Linked DNA regions of Daphnia pulex. The protein of the gene in region 1 purifies or fractionates together with the protein of each later gene. This does not show direct contact. Links are inferred from orthologs where the notes say so. Each region holds a gene or a part of one and is shown on either strand. Other genes may lie near its edges.

Region 1 (3,930 bases):
TATTTCCCCCTAAACCTTTTGCCAGTAGCCAAGAAGTCTACTGCCCCGCCTCTGTCCCTCGGCTCCCAGACTACAATAAGCAATAATAACTAATAACTAATAAGGCAATTACCAATTTGAAGGATGCATTATATTTTATTGATCAGATTACAACCAGAAAAAAGAAAGTGGTACTATACTAATTTTCTACGTAATTCATCCATTTTTTGTTCAATTTTTGATATCAAATCTTCATCTTCTTTATTATTCTGAAGATTAAACGGTCCGTCGAAATATTCAGGACTAATGCTTTCCAAATGAAGGATTCTATCTTCAAGGGCTTTCAAGCGTCCGTACACATCCAGTGGAATAGGTTGTTCTCTTGAATTAAAACCCAAGTGTTTTTCCATATTTTGTAGCCGTTCTTGGATAGCAGGAGTCGGATTCAATTTGGTGTTTACTGAAGATGGAGCCGGAACTTCAGAGTGTGTTTGTGGTCCCCACATATTTACGCATCTCGACACTAAAACGTAAAGAAATCAGTAATCAGCGTTGAATCCTTAAAATAAAATAATTTTACCCTTTAGATGACTTTTACTATCTTTTCTGCTTACAAGCACTGCCTCTGTGCGAGCACATGAATTCTCTAATTCGTTTAATGGTAGTCTGTGACAGAACTCCTGAACGTTGAATACGTCCGACTCTGATCGTTTCCGTTCCATAAACGCAGTAATTCGTTTTCCCAACTGAAAAATTAAAAACATTTAAAATATTTATTGAGAAAAGACTTGATAAAAGTAAAACGGATCAACAATACCTCTAAATTTGAAGCCTTGATCTGAACGCAATCGGCAGCTGCATAGTCCACCATTATTTTCCTCTTTTTAGATAGACTAGCGTCTTCTTCTTGATCTATATCAATTCAAAACATGCTATTGACTATTAAGCATCTATCACATCAAGCAAATATTCCAACAACTCATTCTCATGGAAATAAAAAATTTCAAATCCCGAATTTCCCCACCTAACAAGATTAGAATATTTTCGTACTTATTTTTTTTAATTTTGACTAATAAAAACTTCTGAACGCTTGTGCTTTCTTTAAGCCATACTTCTATAAGCCAAATAATCAAATGACGTACGCGGCAGTGAAGGGAACAAATGCAGAAGTCACAACTAAATACTAAATAAAGGACGTCTATGTGTGGTTGTCCCTATTCCGTCAGATAATTAGCTTAAAGCTTATAGGCAGCAAAGCTGTCGAACCACACGAAAACGTCTAATAGATTGAAGCAGTGCGTAGAATGCAGCATTGCAGCTACTCATCTTTAGAATCACACAGTATATGTTATTATATAATGAAAGGGCAAAGATTGGAAAGCGTTGGGAACTGGAAAGTACTTGGATAATAAGTAAAATGAATGTTAACATTGCTTAGTTAAAAAATAAAAAGAGAATTAAAAACCCTTAAAAACCTTATATTTTAAATGTCAGACTTGACAGCACTACGTAGATATTATCACTTTAGTAAGATTGAAACTACAGCCAAACTAACGTTCATGCTCCGATTTTTAACTAATGAAAAGTACTGGAAACCATTTCAAATATTGTTCTGATATCGGAAAATCGATTAAGGTTCAATATTTGTGTTACTTGTTAAGAATCAGTACTGTTATGAATTCAAAATTCATACAACAAATAGGAACAACTAAGCATTATTTGTTTAATTTTTACTTGTCCACAGGCATTCTTTGTTGGCTTTCCATTCAGGAGCACCATCACTATAAAGTTCTTTCTTCCAAATTGGTACAGACTTCTTAAGCGCGTCAATCCCAAATTGAACAGCCTCTAAAGATTCGGCTCGATGCTCGGATGAAACAGCTATTACAACACTTGCTTCACCAACCGGAACTTCTCCCAATCTGGAAAGAAAAATAGGTAATTAAAACAAACAAACAAACAAAAAAATGTTTCTTAAGTTTCCTCATTATAACTACAGTATGGTAAAAAAAAAAATTATACCTATGGTGGAATGCAATGTGTTTAACCTTCCATTTTTCTCTAATATTCTCACAAATTTTCTTGATTTCTTTACATGCCATTGGCTTGAAAGCTTCATACTCTAGACTAATCACCTTAAATATAAAGCAAATTTGATTTAGAAATATTTGACTTTAGATTATTCAAATTGACATTACTTTCTTTCCTTCAAAATTATTCCTTGTTGTTCCCACAAATAATGACACAGCTCCAGTAGAATGTTCAACCACTTTAGAGTAGATTGAATTCACATCAAGCTGTTCTTCAACTAAGTTAATAATATCCATTTTAAAATACAATTGAAGGGCTCTGGCGAATTAAGCTGTAGCACACTGCTTATGAAGAATCCTAGCGACCTAGCCACCACTTAATGGTGGGATCACTGCAATTTCCTTGCAATTTTTAATGTCTATAAGCTGATCAAATTCAACATATTCTTCATCAGCAGCTAGGACAATGTTCTTTGATATGGATTCTAGAGCTGGAAATTGTTCTGTAATGATGCACAAAAGATTTGCCCCAGTGATTCTTGAAGTTGTTCTGGAAAGTGAAATATTGTCAAAATCTTTTCCAACTAACTCTCTGGCCTTTGCAAAGAACAGAATCCGAATAACTACTTCATCCATTGATCAAGGTCAAGACTACAGCATCCCTGACTATAATTTTAACCAGATTTGTTGACATGTAACAATCAATAAAAAAATATATGTTAATTAGTTGTCACCGCAAAAGTAAATTTAACTTTGAGTAGTAATCTTGATTAGCAATACGCTCTTCTTATGCGTTGACTATGTGTCTGTAAAACTGTGACAGAGGCTCGGCAATCAGAAAAGCGTCTGGTCACTGGTCGTCTGCTGGCACTGGCAAGTGGGAAGTGGCAATGACATAAAGAGACTAAAGCGTATTTTTTAAAAATTCAAAAATTGTAATATGCGCGGAGTTTTTCTTGCGCGCAAAATATATACATTAATTTTATGCCCCCTTATCTGCAAGAAGCCAACAACGATGCAAATATTCTATGCAACTTTATGTGTATTGTGTATAGATGTTATACCCTTGAAAAAGTAGTGGTCTAGCAAAAAATCGTGCGCAGTTTACGCCGATGCGCACCACAGCGGCAGATAGCAGAACTAAACTTTTTATTACGCTTGACTACCTGTCTACTTCAAGAAACGAGACGAGAACCGACTGCTTGTCGAACAAAGGACTTGAAGTAGACAGGTAGTCAAGCGTAAAAAAAAGTTTAGTTCTGCTATCTGCCGCTGTGGTGCGCATCGGCGTAAACTGCGCACGATTTTTTTCTAGACTACTACTTTTTCAAGGGTATAACATCTATATCGTATCAGAGCGATCGTATTCGTTCACCGATTCTTTCATAATCAACAATTTCATAATATTCAAATTTCAAACTATGTGCATACCGGCATACTATTGTCAGGGGTATGGAGAGATTTATGGAGATATCTTTCTCTCCATACCCCTGCTATTGTTATTTAAAAATCCGACAAGTTTTTCTATCAGACACCAAATAAAATGACAGGCGCATTCTTATGCTACTGGAGTCACTCCTCTATGCGACTGTTAAGTGTTTACTTTCTCACCATCACTCCTTGTGTCACTACTAACACGGGAATTTTCGTGATTTTAATAATTAACAGTAACTATGAGGCGGGTGCGGTAGTTGAATAAGGAAAAATCTAAATATATAGTTCCTAGACTACAAACAATCCAAAAGTTTATTTGTTTCGAATTACTCAATTTCAAATTTCATTCGACATTTGAAAAACTCGGTAAACGTTATTGACAATGTTTTCAAATCACAGTGGTTTTTCCTAGTCAATGTCAAATAACACATAGCATTTCCGCATAACACAAACATTATTTACAAAACAAGGTTCGTGAACAAATTTC
Region 2 (3,598 bases), on another chromosome or scaffold:
AGTGAATGTCTGCACAAGCTCCATTTGCGAAAATTCCATTTTGACAAGCTCCATTGCGAAAACGCGCCCTCAAGACATCTCGACTGGAAAATGACTGCAAAACCACTGCTCACACCATGAACGCTGCATCAACACCATTGGCAGCTCCAACATCAAACTAACCAAGAAATCCTGTAAATCAAGTTCAAAGGAAAACAATGAACCAATTACATTTTCAAATACAAGAAAGGGTTAATTTCTGTTTTATATTTAAAAAATACAATTCTATTGAGCAAATCTTTTCACAAAAGCTCTTAATTAGAAACATATAGTTGTTGTAAAATGTCATCTAAATCGAGAATTCAATGTCTGACCTGATTCCTGACAAAAATCACATGTGTAGCACACACTTTTAAAGTAGACTAAAATATAGGCAAATTCTAACCCACTCGAGTGTTCTAACAAGTTAAGTGCATGTCTGTGAAAGCTCTTGGCATAATTCAACTGGAAATTGAAACAATTTGCAAAACAAAACGTAATGAAGCTCAGGCTTTACTGCTCAACAGTTAATAGAAAAATTTAAATTACTTTTTGAAACAAAGTCACACAATTTTAATTCAGAAACAAAGTCTTGAATTAAAAAGTTAAGCAATAATTACTTTTTACTGTTCTGCATGGAACGAAACGTGCAACATTCAGCAAGAGACGACATTGTGGGAATGTACAGCAGGCCACATGCGATTACCAATTATGAATTGAAGACAATGTTACACGTTTTGAACCACACACAAAATTAAATTTTATAAAATTAAAGAATAAAAAATGGAATTACCATGTCTATGATCAACAATGTCACGTAAGAAAGTACCAGCAATGACTAAATTTTACCTTCTCGGACAGCGTCTCGACAGCAAAAGAAAGACTGTTCTGTCAGTCGTCTCAGGACTTTGACAGTTTGATGACCCATCCCCCTACACCCCTCTAGAAACAAACACACTAGAGCTGAATAGTTCAATCCCTAAACACGCTGAAATATTTAGCCACCTAGTGACAGCCCTGAGCATCCACGGACGACTAGAATGGGACGGAAAATAAACGAAATATTCGTCATCTCCGTGAAATACATTTAGTAGATAAAAAAAATTATCGAAAAATTAACAGGTGAGCTTTCTTGGTGGAATAGTTATCGTCAGTCATCACCAAAAAGTTACCACACAATGCCGATACATTTTTACAGGGATGTGCAAAATATTAAAATAACTGACTACAAAATAACTAAATAATTTGAGAGTTGAAAATGATCAAAGGCTATATAATAAAACCACTCGAAAAAAAGGCCTGATTTAGAAATTATTGCCATGGTTATACAATTTGAGCATGCTCATGCCATCTGCTAATGACGAATGGAACTAATACAGTTGATGCCATAGTTGCCATGGTGACGACAAAGCAACTGCCGATGTTACGATTTTCAATTTATTGTTTGGAAGGCTGATTTCCGATGACTGTTTTTAAACTCATCTTCATTAATTTAGTAAGGTTATTTTTCTGTGCATAAAAGATATGTAAATTTCAGAATTTAATTTTCTTTAGTTCTTGGTTTTCTTGGTGGCTTTTGCTTGGATTCCAGTCATCATTGCTGGTTTGAGCTCATCATTTAGGAGAGGTAGTTGTTATTAAACATATACATCATGGCTTTGTCATTAGATTCTGCCACACAGCAAGTCCAAGTAAGGTTGATATAATCAGTTGTTAAGGTATTTACTTAGTTCTAATTTGGATTGGGGTGCAGGAACGATTGAAGGGGATCTACAAGTTGGTCAAGCAGATTCAAGAAGAGAAAGTTCGTAATGAAGGTAACTTAAATGCTGTTATCAAAGCTCATGAAAAACTTCAGTCAGATGACAAAATTTCTCCATATCACAAGGTATTTCTATTCCCATATCACTAATTAATCAGCACTAATGAATGCCTATAAAATTATCAGTCTAAATTAAAAGGACTGTATTGCTCTGTGGTGGCTGATGCTGAAAAAGAAGAGGACCTTATTCGTAAGGCATTAAGCAAAATCTATGAAATTCGCGTTATCAGACATGAAAGGAGAATTCAGGTTATTCCCAAGAACGTAAACTTAGAAAATTTCACCTAACATTGTACTAACATTCTTGTTCAGGCAAAACAAGCTGGCAGTAAGGAAACTATAAGAAGAGGTGCTCTCATGAAAATGCTTCTCGTTACTGCTCAAACTCTCCCGCTGTGGATCAGTAAGTCAGGACAACAGCCACCAGCATTATGTGGAGCAGTTCCAGCTGACCCAACTTACGTTGCCAAAGTATTACATTATTCGAATGTCATAAACTGTTAATTGACTAACCGAAACACCTTATATGTATGTCAGCTGGGAGATATTGTTGCGGCTTTGGTAAAGAGTACAGACGGCGATGAGAATTGGATTTTGGCAGAAGTCGTTCAATATTTAGCTTCTTCTGGGCGCTATGAAGTGGATGATATTGACGAGGAACAGAAAGAGCGACACACTTTAAGCAAACGCAGAGTAATTCCTCTTCCTTTGATGCGAGCTAATCCTGAAACCGATCCCGATGCTTTGTTCTCAAAAGGAGCCACTGGTAAAAACAAAACAAAAAAATCGCAAATTTTAGCTGATCCGACGTTAGCATATTATTAACATACTAAACATTTGTTTTTAGTCATGGCTTTGTATCCACAAACGACCTGTTTTTACAAAGCGGTAATCAATCAATTACCCCAAACAGCTCAAGATGAATACCAAGTTCTTTTTGAAGATTCTAGCTATACTGAAGGATTCAGTCCGCCTTTGATGGTGGCGCAACGATATGTCATAGCTATCAAAGAGAAAAAGAAATGATTTCAAATACATTTGACCCTTTTTTCTATTCTCTCTTCTGTACAGCAGGATTTGTGTTTTTCACTACTTCTTCCAACCACGTATGAAACATGAAATAGAATCTAAATGGGGGAGTTTTTGAATCCGTAGTCGGCGTAGTCAGAAGGCTTCATTTTATCGGAAACTTTAGGGAAGTTCGGATCTCCTGGGTAAACTGCGGGTCTGGAGCCGAAAATTGCAAATCCTTTCTTGCGAGTCCAGTCCTAAAAGTTAAAATGTAGTATTTTGGGTGCTGTCCACTATTAGAGGCAAATACTTACATGAGAGTTGTACTTCAGATTGTAGGTAATTCCCAAAACCAGCCATCCAGCAAGAAGATATTTACCAACCCAATAGCGAGTAATCTGAGTTTTGTCGCCCTATGAATAAGAAAAAGAATTAGAACACAGATTTTATGAATTATGTAGTAGTCTCACAACCACAAAATGGACAGTTAATTAATTTTTAAAAGTAAAGTGTTTTAGTTCACATTACATCTGCTCGAACTAAATCGGGGAAATGTTACCCATAACAAAAGTTTTAAGTTCTGTTAATACTTATTATTACTTACCAATCTAGATTGAAGTTTAGAGAAGACAAAATCAAGGGGAAAACGATATGCTCGACGGATTGGATTCATTTCCATTTGGCTGGCACTAAATTGCGTACGAGGTTCATGGTGGCCCAACTCCTGAGCTTTGAGCCATTTTTTTC

The links.
Region 2: the proteins of molybdopterin synthase catalytic subunit-like (region 1) and SAGA-associated factor 29-like purify together in Drosophila melanogaster (affinity purification with mass spectrometry; 5 studies listed by BioGRID, with this or other methods). This does not show direct contact. The link is inferred for Daphnia pulex from reciprocal best matches to the Drosophila melanogaster genes Mocs2B and Sgf29.

The regions. Positions count from the first base shown.
Region 1 is NC_060026.1:10,881,330-10,885,259, forward strand, and holds molybdopterin synthase catalytic subunit-like, read right to left. Parts: upstream 3,033-3,930; 5' UTR 2,307-3,032; coding exon 2,178-2,306; intron 2,115-2,177; coding exon 2,002-2,114; intron 1,902-2,001; coding exon 1,714-1,901; intron 892-1,713; coding exon 797-891; intron 726-796; coding exon 560-725; intron 503-559; coding exon 174-502; 3' UTR 109-173; downstream 1-108. UniProt on the Drosophila melanogaster protein: Catalytic subunit of the molybdopterin synthase complex, a complex that catalyzes the conversion of precursor Z into molybdopterin.
Region 2 is NC_060019.1:9,072,430-9,076,027, forward strand, and holds SAGA-associated factor 29-like, read left to right. Parts: upstream 1-1,393; 5' UTR 1,394-1,513; intron 1,514-1,572; 5' UTR 1,573-1,670; coding exon 1,671-1,709; intron 1,710-1,771; coding exon 1,772-1,906; intron 1,907-1,966; coding exon 1,967-2,089; intron 2,090-2,152; coding exon 2,153-2,311; intron 2,312-2,377; coding exon 2,378-2,606; intron 2,607-2,687; coding exon 2,688-2,866; 3' UTR 2,867-2,894; downstream 2,895-3,598. Other genes in the region: uncharacterized protein LOC124191408, read right to left, coding at 2,968-3,108, 3,166-3,264, 3,456-3,598. UniProt on the Drosophila melanogaster protein: Component of both the SAGA and CHAT histone acetyltransferase complexes, which both predominantly acetylate histone H3.